Struthio camelus: one gene and its partner. The protein of the gene in region 2 binds, or shares a complex with, the protein of the main gene of each other region. Links are inferred from orthologs where the notes say so. Each region holds a gene or a part of one and is shown on either strand. Other genes may lie near its edges.

What was found. Proteins that work in one complex are often made in the same cells at the same time.
Region 1: the proteins of SMAD1 (region 2) and SMURF1 are in contact, whole or in part, in an NMR structure (PDB 2LB1), measured with the Homo sapiens proteins. The link is inferred for Struthio camelus from reciprocal best matches to the Homo sapiens genes SMAD1 and SMURF1. Residues at the interface, in NP_001003688.1 of Homo sapiens: Asp221, Thr222, Pro223, Pro224, Pro225, Ala226, Tyr227, Leu228, Pro229, Pro230, Glu231, Asp232; in NP_065162.1 of Homo sapiens: Glu313, Val314, Arg315, Ser316, Arg321, Tyr323, Val325, Asp326, His327, Arg330, Thr331, Thr332, Gln333, Phe334.

The regions. Positions count from the first base shown.
Region 1 is NC_090956.1:4,661,732-4,669,080, reverse strand, and holds the start of SMURF1 (E3 ubiquitin-protein ligase SMURF1), read right to left. Parts: upstream 3,020-7,349; 5' UTR 2,923-3,019; coding exon 2,868-2,922; intron 2,478-2,867; exon of another isoform or gene 2,424-2,477; intron 2,265-2,423; exon of another isoform or gene 2,206-2,264; intron 1-2,205. UniProt on the Homo sapiens protein: E3 ubiquitin-protein ligase that acts as a negative regulator of BMP signaling pathway. Mediates ubiquitination and degradation of SMAD1 and SMAD5, 2 receptor-regulated SMADs specific for the BMP pathway.
Region 2 is NC_090945.1:34,653,210-34,660,498, reverse strand, and holds the start of SMAD1 (mothers against decapentaplegic homolog 1), read right to left. Parts: upstream 3,014-7,289; 5' UTR 2,874-3,013; exon of another isoform or gene 2,850-2,873; intron 2,118-2,849; exon of another isoform or gene 1,886-2,117; intron 1-1,885. Other genes in the region: OTUD4 (OTU domain-containing protein 4), read left to right, coding at 6,561-6,725. UniProt on the Homo sapiens protein: Transcriptional modulator that plays a role in various cellular processes, including embryonic development, cell differentiation, and tissue homeostasis.

The DNA.
Region 1 (7,349 bases), on a different chromosome or scaffold from region 2:
TTTTTTTGGTAAAAATGTTACATGTTTTGCCCACCTCTTCACTCTCTTTCCAACTCTATGTGCCACCTAATCTGCAAGCTACCTGGAACAGGAGCATCTCTGGTATCTAGCACAATGAGACTGCAGTTTTCACACGTACTTCTGGGTGATATAACAGCATGAGCAAGAAGGATGCAAGCCTTGGAGCTGATAAACCCTTTGGAACTTCCCCAGGGGACAGTGACGGCAGCAGCAAACAAAAGGTTTTAGACAAAAGCACATCACTTAAAAGGGAGGAAAGAAAAAAAAAAAAAAAAGGAAAAAGGAGGTGGGGAGGCACTCAGCAAAGGTCCCTTGGTCTTTGGATTGCATTCCTCCCCAACCCAGAACACACTCAGTGGACTTTTCAAGCACGTACACTGCAGAACTTAAAATATCTTTTTATTATTTCCATCTTTTTTTAAATAAGTCATTCACTGTTACACTACCCTGGTGATAGCTCAGTTTACCTTAACTTGTAAGAGCCAAAGATATTTACGGCCTTGTCTCTTGGAACAATTCTAGACATCTCTAGCAGTGGTGAAAGCTCCATCGGAAATACAAGGAACTTTGCACAGGCTTTTGGGGAAACTCAGATACGAAGAGAGATTACCATGTTTGAGACGCACAGAAGATAAAGTCACTTTAATCTGTCATCCAACTTACTTGCTATTACCGCATTTTCTCTTTTTTTTTTTTTTTTTTTAAACAGGATGCATTATTTGCCATTTTCCTTCATTATGATTTGTATCAGGATAGGACTGACACCATTCCACATAAGGCTAGAAGATCACTTCTGATAAACATCAGAGGAGCCAGAACTTTTTTATATATATATTCACATAAATAAAATAATCCCAGCACAGTGCTAATACAAGCACCTTCCTAACATGCAAGAAAAAAGTATGTCTTTCAAAAAGTACGGAAGATGCTATCACTGTCGACTTCTCGTTTACAAAGTAACCCTCACAGGCATCTTCAAACTAAGTGGCATTTACACAGTTCCTTGCAGGAGTGGAAAACAGAAATGGCTATAATCGCAGGAAACACAATGCGGGTAGTAAACCATAACAGAAGATGCGCTGTGTCTTGATTTAATTCAGCTCAAATCTCCCAATACCAAAACAGATTCCAAAAAAAAAAAAAAAAAAAAAAAGTCATGCTAGCTACAGCTATTTGAAACAGGTAAGTCGAGAAGCTAGTTGCCAGAGAAGCCAGGAACACGTTTCTTAACGATTCCAAAGCTACACCTCTCCCAAAGCAACACCTCTCCCAAAGCAATTTATTTTTTGATTAAATACAGCAATTTTTGGCACACCACCCAGGTTGAATGCTCATAAGGACAGAAGATATGATTGAGCAAGCTGGAGGTTTCTTCAGTACAGCTTTTCTTTGGGGAGGGGGGAATATATGAACAAGAAAATCTATCCAGTTATTTAACAAACCAAACCTTCACTCTATTCCAGAAAATGTCCAAAACGTTCTCAAATAAGAGAGAACAGTGCAAGCTAGAAGTAAAACAGCATTTTGATGCAGAACTCCTCCTTTAAAAATCAAACCCAACAGCTTTTTTCTGCTATTTAAAGAATACCCTCACGTTGAGGAGGGCTGTAAGCATGGCAGAAGCTACTTCTCTTGCAACATTTTTATTTATTGGGTTGCATAAAATAAGTTATATTAAGGACTGCTTTGACATTTAACACGCATCAGTGCAAAACTGTAATTTCAGATCAAACATACACCCTAAATCCTTTTTTAACCTTTTCACATCCAAGAAAAGGATTGTCCTATTTATGTTTTTTCCCAGAAACTTTAGTCTCTTAAAGCCAGAGCAGTGTAAAACCAAACAAAAATGATTAAAAAAGCAGGATTCTTTTTTTTTTTAGGAGTTATTTCTGACTGATTGCATTATATGCCAGAAGCAAGTTAATCTTGTGTGTAACTGCAGGAGTGCTGCTTCCCCATTATTTGACGATGCCTAACGCACCCAGGGAAACAACTCCGTGCAGATCAGCGTTACTGACCCAGAGCAGCACGGCGGTTCGCTGAAAGAGCTCTCCGAGTTTGCACCTGTTGCCTTGGAGGCCTGGACTGGGCTTTATTTATCAATAATTCACACCGTAGCCCTCAGAAACTCTGCCCTTTTTCCATTAAGGAAGCAGCCTCAGTATCAACCGGGGCAGCTTCCAGAAGATTTAATCCAGCTCTTGGAGGGTGCAACACAGAATTGGCTTATCCACACGCGGGTGCGCAGTTTATCGCTCCTTCCCCCCTTCCCCTTATCGCTCAGCGAAGCAACTTCGGGAGCCGGATGAGCGATCTGCTGAAGGAGAAAAGGGGGGAAGGGGCGGCCGGGGAGGAAGGAGGCAGCCCTGGCCCGCGACTAAACCCACATTTTCTCCCAGCACAGAGCGCCTGCCCGGCCCAAGGGAAACTCGGCGGCGGAGCAGGAGGCCGAGGTCGGTCCTGGCGGGCGGCGGTTGGGGGGGGGGGGGGAGCCGGGCCCGGAGCCCCCCCCCCCCCCGGGGGCCCCCGCAGCGCCGGGCTGCGCACCTGACACCCCGCCGGGGGGCAACGGCGCGGGCCAGGGGGCCAAGATATATTAGGGATATATGTGTATATATATATATTATATATGGGGGGGGGGGGGGCGGCCCGGGGAAAGTTCGCGCCGGTAGCGGCGGCAGCCCGGCCGGCCTCGCCCCCTCGCGGCGCCCGGCCCTGCCGCCAGGCCGCGGCCCGGAGGGGGCGGCGGCCGCCGGCGCCGAGGCGGCCAGGCCGGGGCGGGCGAGGCGGCGGTGCGGGGGGGAAGCGGCGGGAGGGCCGCGCGGCGGCGGCGGCGCCGTTACCTGTGAGGCGGATCTTGATGCTGGAGCCGTTCCGGCGGGTGCCGGGGTTCGACATCGCGGGCGCGGGCTGGGGGAGCCGGTCTCAGCCGCCGGCCCCGGGCACCCCCATGCGGGCCTGCTGCCGCCGCCGCCGCCGCCCGCCTCAGCCCCGCCGCCCGGCCCGGCCCGGCCGCGGAGAGCGCGCTGGCGCCGCCCCCGCCCCGCCGCCCGCGGGAGAGGGGGCGGCGCACGTCAGCACGCAGCGCGGCGCGGCCGCGCGCCGCCGCCATGGAGGTGAGGTCGGCCTGGAGGGGGGCGGGGGGGAGGAGAGCGGCAGCGCCCCCTGGCGGCGGGGCGGAGAGGGGGCGACGGCGGGGCCCGGCGGGGGGGCGAGGCGGGGCGGGGGTAACAATGGGGGTGACATGGGGGCCCGGAGGGTGGATGGGGCGGCAGAGGGGGTGGGTAGGAGTGATACAGGGGGTGCGTGGGGGTGGCACGGGGGTCCCTTGGAGGGTGCATGGAGGGGGGTGGGGGTGCATGGAAGGTGTCTGGGGGTGGGATGGAGGGTGCGTGGGGGGGGTGAATGGAGGGTGCGTGGGGGTGGGATGGGGGTGAATGGAGGGTGGCTGGGGTGGGATGAGGGGTGAATGGAGGGTGCGTGGGGGTGGGATGGGGGGTGAATGGAGGGTGGCTGGGGTGGGATGAGGGGTGAATGGAGGGTGCGTGGGGGTGGGATGGGGGGTGAATGGAGGGTGGCTGGGGTGGGATGGGGGTGAATGGAGGGTGGCTGGGGTGGGATGGGGGTGAATGGAGGGTGGCTGGAATGGGATGAGGGGTGAATGGAAGGTGGCTGGGGTGGGATGGGGGTGAATGGAGGGTGCGTGGGGGTGGGATGGGGGTGAATGGAGGGTGGCTGGGGTGGGATGGGGGTGAATGGAGGGTGGCTGGGGTGGGATGAGGGGTGAATGGAGGGTGGCTGGGGTGGGATGAAGGGTGAATGGAGGGTGGCTGGGGTGGGATGGGGGTGAATGGAGGGTGGCTGGGGTGGGATGGGGGGTGAATGGAGGGTGTCTGGGGTGGGATGGGGGGTGAATGGAGGGTGTCTGGGGTGGGATGAGGGGTGAATGGAGGGTGGCTGGGGTGGGATGGCGGTGAATGGAGGGTGCGTGGGGGTGGGATGGAGGTGAATGGAGGGTGGCTGGGGTGGGATGAGGGGTGAATGGAGGGTGGCTGGGGTGGGATGAGGGGTGAATGGAGCGTGTGGGCGGCTCAGGGCAGGGTGGAGGGGAGGAAATGGTGGGTGGAGTAGGGAGGGTGGGGGCCGGGGCAGTGTGGCAGGGCGCAGGGTGCAGCAGAGGGGTGATGTTTTGGGGGGGGGGGGGACACGGGGCCAGGTTTCAAGCAGAGCGGTGCCAACCCGAGAGCCTGGTGCGTGGGTCTGGGGGTGAGGGCAGCTCAGCCCCCAGCGGGCTCAGGTGCTCGTCCCCGCGCGCCCACAAGGCCGGGATGTGCCCGGGGGGCCACCCGGCTGCCCGCGGTCCCCCGCAGACGCAGCCACTGGCCGGAGACGATGCCGTGGGAGCAGCCTGGCCGTGGCCCCCGCGCCCCATGCAACCCCCCCGAGCACCTCGTTGCTCACTGCTTCCCCAAATGCCTGGTCGGCCAGCAGTTAACGCTGGGGCCTGGTCCTTGCGCCTCTGCCGTGACCCGTCCCCAGCCTATTGATTTACGAACTAACAAATTTAAAAAAAAAAAAACATACACCAACTTCTATTTGCAATGCCAGGATGCGTGTACGCTGAACAAGCCCGCTCACCTCTGCTGCCAGCCAAAAACAAAATCGCTACTGAAAGAAAAATCCTGAAAGGATCCCTAAATCCTCCCTGTCCGCCGAGGCACGGCGCATCCCCCAACCTCCCTGCGCCAAACCTCCGGGCCAGCCTTCTTTTACACCCAGCTGGCTGAGACTAGGTTGTCCTGTTTGCTTAGACACGTGCTGCCGTCCCCGCGGAGCAGACGCCGGGCTCAATGCGGGCCTGCGTAGCCAGACAGAAGTAGCAAATACTACTGTAGAGCAAACGTGAGCTATTTTTCCTGCAGGCAAAGAGATGACCTAGTTCCCCGATCGGGCTGATTTATGGAACTGGAAGCGGGGACGAGGACGGGGCGTGCCGGGCTCGGCGTCGCTCCTGACCGCGTTCGCGCCGAGCTCGTCGCTGGCTACTGCCAGGGGACAGCGGCAGGGCTGGCTCCGCGGCTTCTCACCCTCCCCGCCTCTCGGCCAGACCCGAAGCAAGGGGCGCGCGCGCAGGGAGGCTCTGGAAGCAGAAAGGGACGCGGAGGGTTAGCGGCTAAGTTCGTTAGTCCGACCAGCGCACGCCTTAATTCGGGATTTCGAAAGTACCGCTGTTGTGCTGAGCAGAGAGGATCTTCAGTTTTAAACCACAGCTTTTATTCCTTTGCTCTGCCCATCCTTTCCCAGTGCTGTTTAATGGAAGGCGTGAGGCCCTTCGGTCCTCGCCCAGGACCTTGCTCTTGCTGCGTGCCGGCGTTGGCTAACTGAGAGCTCAGCTCAGGACCAGGCGGGTCCCCTGCAGTGACAGAGCGCGTCGGGCTCTCACTTTTCGAGCGTGCTCAGGGCGGAGGAGCACGGCAAAGATGTTTATGGCTAGCCCCGACAGCCCTGCTGCTCGATTTCCAGCCTGCCGCTGAGCTGGTCCCCAGCGTCTCGGCTCCCCGCGGCACACTTTCCTCGCTGTTTGTTTTCAGCTCCAGATCATCACTCGGAGGGACCGAGCTGTAGCTGTTACAGTCTGTTTGCTCAAAGTCTGCAGCATCTTAACTGAGCCTAGCGACAGATCAGCTGGGAACCACTCTCACTAGCGGTTCCTCCGAGGCAAAGAGGAGGAAGAAACCCCACTCCGTAAATGCCAGGAAGAAAATGCAGAATACAGGCGACGGAGAAGAGAAAGCCTCCGACAACCTACGGCCAAGCATCAGGTGCAGCAAAAAAACTGGAGACTCAAGCAATGCTTTCCGCCGTTCACGTTCTTCCCCCAAATCCACCTCCCCGACCTTTCCCCCTGCCCAGCCACGCTAACCAGGGCTCGGTCCCATCCCCTGCCGGCAGAGCTGGCTCCCGCAGCCCCGAGTTACGCGGTTCCCGGCACAGCCCCTGTCTCGGCCGCTGCTGGGACTCTCCTTCGCCCGGGCACAGACTCCTGCCTCCTGGCCAACTCCGGCGCTGCTGCTTCTCCCACCCCACGCTCCAGGGAGCTGAACTTGCTGTTTCTCCTATTTCTTCTTTCTTTTCTCCAGCCATCAGTTTTCGGCTTGCGTAACTCCCCAAGCCGGCTCCTGGCAGGCCGGGTGAGTCAGGGGCAGCGCAGGCCCCAGCTCCCTGCTTTGCATCCCTGGGAACTGCCACCGAAACCCCCTTCGATCAAGTCTTACAAAGTCAGAGCCCCCATAACTAATTTACATGGTCCCATGGAGGTTGCTGAGTGTTCCTGTGGCAGCAGAAAATGAATAATTCGGAATAAAGGTACTTTGGAAGAGCCCCTACCCCCTTTACGGTGTCCTTTATTGACAAAGGAGCCAGCACAGGCACCAGCACCGCCTTTGTAGAGCTCTAGAGAGCCAGGGATGGAGCAGCCATCATCCGGCTTCTCTGGGGTTCAGATGCAGGGTGCTTTAATTAGAAAAACTACTTATTGGTGCATCTCTAAGCAGAGGATGAGCCCAGGCAGCAGGAGACCCCCCGCCGTCCCCTCCTGTGCTGCAGCCTCGGCTTCGCCCAGCAGCGAGGTGTGGACACCCGAGGAGGAGGAAGGTGCCAGGGGCTTTGCCAAGAAGCCAGGGTCAAGCTACTCTTAATCTGCCTTTGGGAAGCAGCCACCCCGTGAACAGCTCCCCGACTAATCCTTCGCCCCGCGCCTGTGAGCTGGCTGCAGCAGCAAGGGAAGGAGGGTCACGCCAGGGAGACGGAGGGTGATGCGAGAAGTCGGTGTCTCCAACCCTTTGGAGCTGAATGCCAAAGCGGCAACTGCCACCTGTGCCCGGGGCCAGCGGTGATTAGAGGAGAGCACCACTCATTAAAGGGGCAAGCAGATGCCTGCAGGTAGCTCACGCGCCTGCTGAGGCAGCAGCCTCCCAAACACACAAGGCATCAGGCAGGTACATACAGCCGAGCAGGCAGCTGTGTTCAGACAGACACCGTTCCCAGTTCTCCAGCCGCGTTTGTACAACAGCATCAGTCGAAGCCATGCTGCCTCTGCCTTGCTCATGGTGCAGCTCTCCACAAGGCTGGTGGCTATGGAGGATGCATACTCCTACCCATGTTCTTAAAGAGGGGGTCACGTTGTTTTCTCCATCATGTTCTGGGCTTTAGGGGCACCATTTGGTTGCAGTTTAAGCTATCCACTTGCTCTCAGAGCTCTGCATAATACTATCCACCACTGGCAGGCCTCTCCAGCATGCACAGGTAAGCTGGAAAAAAAGACA
Region 2 (7,289 bases):
TAGGCACACCCTGAGTAAGAAACGTTAAAGATTCACAAAAGCCTTTAAAACCAAGTTCTTACTCTTCCCACCCCCCTAGTACAAGCAGTACAGGTCTTTCTCTAAGCTTATGGAAATGAGTTACTACCACATGAGTCAGTTAAAACTTAAGGGGCGTAAACTTAAAAAAGCATCAACTAGTACATAGCTACAACGAATACTCTCACAAACAACAGAATACACTTTAGAAGAGTGGAAGGCATAAAATGAGATTTTTTAAACGCTCAGGATTTATTCCTCTGAGGGAGTACAATCTTACTGAAAAGGAATTAAACTAAAACTTTGAATATGCTGTCCAGGTTTGGTAAAAAGGGTTTAGGATAACTCAACACTGTCAGTCTCTCAGGCTGAAGTTTAGCATAGATTTAGCCTGGCACTACACTAGAATCAAAACCTGTCATCTCTTTGCTTGTCCACTCGTTCCCACCCTCACACGCCTCTCTCTCTTGCACTGGTGTTTGTGTAGCAAGCGTGCAGCAAAATGGCTTGGAGAGCTGATCTTGCTGAAAAATGTAACGGGGCTCGGGGCAGGTGAAGCTTAGCAATGAGCCAGGTCACTTTTCACAGTGTACTTCACTGTCCAGCTATATGAACCTGTGTACCTGCACAAAGGCAGGCACAGAGCAGGGTCAGGACCAAGCAGCTACCAGCAGCAAAGCATTGTTTCTTTTCCAAGGCACTACCAGCTTAAACGTATACTGAATTACAGATTGGGAAATATGAGACCAGATATTGATAATCAACTTTCACTGGGTTGTTTTTAAGCCTATTGTCTTCAAAAGTACTGATCACACGCTAACAGCCTATTTAACATACATAGAAAACGCATATTGAATCAGGCCTTACTATTTCCACCAAAAATAGTAATTTCAGACAAAGTCAAAAATCTCATAGTGAATTATTAAGCACATAGGCAAAGATTTTTTTAACCAATCACACAGAGATTTTTTTTTTTTTACATGTGCCCTTAAGTGACTTTATAATCATCATTGATATTTATCCCAACTAGGCTAAGTGCTTATTTTTAATTAATTCCCATTAAATGTTTTGGCTTGATAACACGCTTTAGTGATGAGTTCCTAGCCTAAATAAGCATTTGGTTTAAAGAAAGAAGACTCTGAATTTGTTGTACACTTGCTTAGTCTTCTCACTTCCTTCCCACTATTGATTTACAGAGGTTGTACATATTTCATCAGGTCTGTTGCAGTACTTCTGAGAAAAAGTAATGCAACATGAGAGTAATCACTTGCTATTCATGTAGCTACATAGATATACACTCAGTTTAACAACTCTCTCTTTTGGAAAAAAGGCAGCTGATGTGATTGCCATAACCTCCTCCCCTCTCCATTCAGTACTCGTTCCTATACCACACCTCCCTTTCTGGGGTCTTTAACTCATGATAACAAGTAATTGTCAAAAAAAAAAAAATCCATAAAAACAACCTCTTTAAAATGTTTCCTGTTGCATCCCACAATCATTTGTAGGATGCTGATCACCTGAGAGTTAAAATGAGTCCTGACGGTGGTGAAGGCACTGCTTAAACTGGTACCACAGCCAAAAATGAAACTTTAATCCAATCACAGCTTCACACAGATGTCAAGAGGAAGTCAGAGCCATAGGGCCAAACACTCAAGCCCTTTGGGCTGCACAAGGGCTAGCTCTGATTTACAAGACGGTAACGCGATCTTTAGAGACAGGGCCACACTCCCAGCCTGACTCTCTCCTCAGCTCCCCCGCTCTGGCAGGTCCCAGCCTCGCCTGTCCTGCCTTCCCCTTCCTTTCAGCCCCACGGCCCGGCTCCCAACGCCGCTGTCCCCCTCTGCTCCCCGGCCCGCCTTCTACCTACCGCACCGCTCCTGCGCCCGCAGGCCGCCGGGCGGCGCGGCGCACCGAGCCCGCGACGGCCACAGACCTCGTTTCCTCACGACTCCGGCTGATGCTCCCGACCCGCCGCCCCTGATTTAAACTACAGCGTCTGGCGGTGCCGGGGGGAATAAACCGCCTGAGGAGCCCGGGCCACAGGGGGCGGCCGGCGGCGGGAGCCCCCTGCCGCCTCCCGCGCCCCTCCCCCCGCGGGCGGCCGTTAGGGAGACCGCGGCGCGCGGCGCCCCCCCGCGGGCGGCTCCAACGGCAGCTCCCGCGCGGCGCTGGGTCCTCCTCACGCCGGGGCGGCTATAACTAGGCCAAATTCAGACGGCTTTTTCACGCAACCAGCGTTAAAAGGGATCCATCCCGCGCCTGCGGTTTTCACGCCCTCCCTTCAAAGCACGAAAAGGCATCTTAAATTAAACTTGCAGCCTCGCTCCTTCGTCCGTGTCGAGGGGCCGCGGCAGGGGGGAGGGAAGGAGGGGCACAGGACACGCCACTTTTTCGGCCTGGTTGCGTGGAGGAGCTGCCGCGGCGCCTCAGGCCGCCTATTTCGGAGACGCGTTAAAGTACATCGGGGAAAGAACCAGCCCCACTCCTGTTCGCGGAACCAGGTGCCTCCGAGGGGCCGGGAGGGGATCGCACAGCAGCACTTTGAACTGCGCGTTAACCGCATCCCCATAATTAGGCAGACAGGACCTGCCCGGTGTTGGACAAGCCCCGACACCGCGCACCTCGCTCTGAACCCGGCCCCACGCGCCCCCCGCGTGCCCAACCCCCGGCGCCGCTGCCGGCACCGCCGAGCGCGCTACCGGCCCTGTGGGGGGAAGGGACACACTCCTGGGCGGTACCACTGCAAGCCCACTGTTGGGGGGGGGCGGAGGCGCGGGCGACTGCCTCTCGCCTTGACATCACCCGCTTCCTTAAAGTTACCCAACGGAAAAAAAAAATCCTTAGGGGAAGCTTACGCCACGTGCCGCTTTCTCCTAGGGCATCTGGGGATTCTCACAGTCTGTCTCCTTCCTCCCCTTTGCGACAAATGGTACGAGCCACAGCCACCCGCACAGGTGTGGCCGGTGGGACAAACCAATCGTGGGCGGGGGGGGTGGTGGAAAGCGGTGTGGGCGCGCGCGCACTCGTGTGCGTGTGTAGAAGAGTGATGAGAAGTGGCGAGGCGGGAGGGCGAGACCGGGACGGGGTTGGTCCGCGGCCGCATCATCGCAGAGCGACCGCCGCGGGAGATTGAAGTGCCTGCGCCGCCGCTGAGGCCCTTGCCAGGCCAGAAGGAGGCGGTGCCGCCGCCCGCTCCCGCAAGCCGTTGTCCGGGGGGGGGAGGGGGGAGCGCGCGCGCCCGCCCGCCCCTCCTCCGGTAAGTGCCAGTCAGCGGGTGGGGGAGGGGTGCGGGGCCCGCCCGGTAGCCGTTGCGGAGGGGGGAACCGCTGAGGGGGGAGGCTAACTCGTCTGCGTGTGTGTGGCCGCACCGGCGGCCGAGCGGGCCCAGCCCGGGCGGATCCGCTCCCGGGGCAAAGGCGGCCGGGCCGGGCCGGGCCGCGGAAGGTGCTGCCCTTGCGGCGGGCGGGGAGGCTGTTGGTGGCAGGCCCTTTGGGGGGGGGGGGGAGTGTGCCTGTCCCCGGCTCGCCATGGGTCGCGCCAGCGAGATTTGCCGGCTGGAAGGAGTGATTTTTATTTTGTTTAATTGTTATTATTATTTTGTTTAATTGTTATTAGTGTTTTGGTTAATCAGCGGGGTCTGGAATGGGGAAGGGGGCACGTGAAAGTGGGCGAGAGCTGGTCTCCTCAAGGTGGTGGTTTCATGGACGCGTGAGGCGGGTAAGGGTGGTCGGTCGTGCACCACCGTGTGGTGCCCCCGCTCCCTGGTGCTGGCCCAGGTGTTAGTACAGGCAGGCAGTGAATTGAATCATAACGATGATCTTGGTTTAAAAATTAAAAAAAAAAAGTTCTTAGCTTGAGTCTGTTTCCTGAGCTGACTCTGTCGGCACCAGTGGTTGGTGCAGAGGAACCACTAGTGGCAGGAACTGCTCTGTTTTTGGTGACAGCACTGGTTGAAAGCGTTTATAAAACTAGTTGCTGATTGGCTACTTGAGTTATAATTAGGTCCCCTTTACTTTGAGGGAGCGTTCATTTTAATGCTGAGGGGTTTCAGGTGCTTTTCAATTGATGCCTTAGAAATGCCACATGCCTTAGAAATTGTGCAAGTACTGACCAGATTTCTTCAATGGGAACTTCACCTTTTTAGAAATAAACTGCTTCTTTGATAGCAGTACATGAGCAAAAACCTCTGTGGATGACCATTGTGACTTTAGGAGCTAGACACAAAAGGAGTGGGCTTTTGGGGAACTGACAGCTATATGGCTCTAATATTATCAGTTTATTCGCATACCAGAACTACGTTTGCATTCTGTGACATATTTAATGACCTTATTTTTTGAGTGACCTCGTGTATAAAGGCACTCTTGAGTCTAACAGACCTAATGAAAGCCATTTACCTTTCCTCTAACTGGTCTCTGAATCATAGTGACAAAAGGCTCAAATACAAGGGAAGACAAATTTGTGAGCATGTTAGAGGATGCTTCTGGTACTGAAGGTGACTATTAGACTGAGGGGGAAAAATGGAAAATTCCTAAGAAACTCTGTAACTGGACACTAGTTTGATAGCTCACAAAAGCATCTAGTCTTACCATCTAAATCTATGGAAGAAGCAATTGTCCCATGCAGGAATCTGTTAGCTTTAATTTCTTAAGTGAATACGGTAGCTGTGTCAGTGCCGGCAATTGTTTGCAGTTCAGCATTGTGATGGACTTTTTACATCTTTTGGGGAGAAGTTTGAGCTTTCCCTTCAGTTCCTCACTAGTGTTTATGCCTCATGCTCCCTGTCATAAAGCCTTTATATGCCCTTACTGGTTACCTAGCTCCCTGTTTCTTAGAGCCTCAGATGTCATCAGGGCTTTCCTTTCACTTCTCTTAGTTTCTGTGCTCCTTGTCTACAGAGATGTCTGGGAGATTGCTTCTGTTTCCAGTAGACCTGCTCCTTGCTTGGCAAACCTGGGCCTCTTAGGAAAAAGAAGTTTGATACTGCTTATACAGAGCTACCATGGTACTCAGCTTGGCTTATAACTCCAGCCTATCCAGTTGGTTACTATTGTATACAGACCACATCAGAGCTTGAATCATAGCCTTCCCTGGCTTTGTTTCTGTTGACTGAAAGTAAAAATGAGGGTTTTCATATAACTGCCAGAAAGGACAATTTTGAGGGTAGTAGCAAAAGGAGGTGGGATGAGGGAATAAGGAGTTTTCTTGGGGTTTCTCATAGCGTCTGCCTTAAGTTCAGTGACCAGAAAGGTCGTTCCTTCCCACTTCCCCACTATTTCTGACCTCAAAATCTTATTAATTTAAACTAAAGAGTAACTGGTAACATTTTACTTACCACTCATGCTACTGAGAGCTTTCTAGCTTTCCCCCTTAGGTAAGTTATAAGTCTACAGTAAAAAAGCCTTACACATTTGGAAAGCTGCCTTCCTTGTCAGATTTTGTGCACCAAAATCATTCCTTCCCGCAGCTTTTAAGGCCAGTCTCTAAAATGCCAAGCAAAATATAGGTCACTTAATTGTAATAAAATGCATGTTTGCTGCTGCTTGCTGCTGAAAGAAATATTGAATAGAGTGTTTTTGTTTTTGTTTTAAATCCTATTTTACTATCCCCCTTCTACTTTCATCTTCCTGCGGCTGGATTTCAAAAATAATTTCACTATCTTATCTGTTGAGGGAAAATATATTTATGTGTCTATGTGTATAATAATATATCTACACACACACACACACACACACACACACACGGTTTAGATTGTGGACATCCTGGTGTCACAACGACTAACAAGCTATGGCATAATTCAGTGTCACGCACATGAAGTCCTGTTCTTCATGGCATGACAGCCCCTGTGGCTCGAGAGGGCAGGCGCGGGGGTCAGCAGCATGCCCTGGGAGCGGCCGGACTCGCTTGCAGGCAAGAGAGGGGCGCTGGCGCGTCGTGTTGGGGAGACAGGCGTGCGGGCAGCCCGGGGCCCGGCGGGGCTTGGGCCGGAGCAGCTGGCGGTGCCCCGCCCGGTTCCTTCTTCCTGCCCCTCCGGGACTACAGCTCCCAGAAGCGCCCGGGCTCTCGGCTGAAAGTGAAAATAAACTCCAGGTTACACTTTTTTCTTCCCCTCCCCTCGGTAGTAGCACATGTCCTTTCTCTTTTGTTTCTGCTTTGCAGCCTGGGTGCGTGCTACATCTACGCAAACGCGAGGAATCGCTGCCTGGAGGAAGAGGTCGGATCGGGACCCTGCTGGAGCAGCTTCCAGGAGCCGCTGCTGGGCCCCCTGGAGAAGCCTGGAAGCGACGTTTTTTATGGGGCTAGAAGTCCAGACTCTGCAGTGAAAGTTTCCTCCTCTCCGTGATTCCCACATGCAAGTTGATAACGTGAAAACGGCTGCTTTTCCTGTTGCTGCTGCTACCTCCAGTGCTGAGAGAGAGGTTAGCGCTCTCCATCCCCACCTGCTGCGGTTTCCTTCACCTGGCCCTGGTGCCGCTCGGTGGGTTTGCATTACCATGTGGGGTTAGGAGAGGTGCAGCGAGCTTCTGCAGCGTTCAGCAGTAAACATGGAGGCGACGGGTAAACCAGATGGCAGGGAGCAGAGTCATCAAAGCAGCGGCACAGATGCTCCTGGGGACGCTTCTATGGACCGCTACTTGCGATCTCAGGGCTTATATAGAAAGAGAGTTGCCAAGGATGGATCTTGTCTCTTCAGAGCTGTGGCTGAGCAGGTAACTAGTTCTTTAAATAAAGCTGCTTTGCACAAAAGAGTGGGAAGTGTAGGATCTCATTAGTGGGTGATACTTAATGTTAAAATGCAAACAACTATAGGTTAAGGTGACACGTGTGCCAAGAAAAGAGAATAGTACTCGAGGAGAGAGACATTCCGTATGTGCAGCATTATTGTGCTCTCAAGAAAATGTTAGCTTTTAAGTTTTGACACTCCCCTCTACATTCTTCATGTAAGATTTCAGCATTTGGGAACAATAGCTTCATATAAAACAACTAAGAACAAGGCTTTTAAGCGCCTTCCATTAAGTTCAGTTTCCTAGACAGTTTTAAGTGGTTTATTGTAAAATTAGAGAAAACAAACAATTTATCTGATTCTTCCTGTTGAATTCCCCCTCCCCCATTTCAGTGTAATGGTTAAAGGAAAAAAGTGACAGCGTCATCTTGTCTTAAATACAAACAAACAGCAGTGGGAGCTCTGGTGCTTCTGTTTGTGAGAGCCCAAATTCCTGTGCTAATACACAGTGCATTTCTTGTTTTTTAACTACTTTCTCCACTAAATTTTA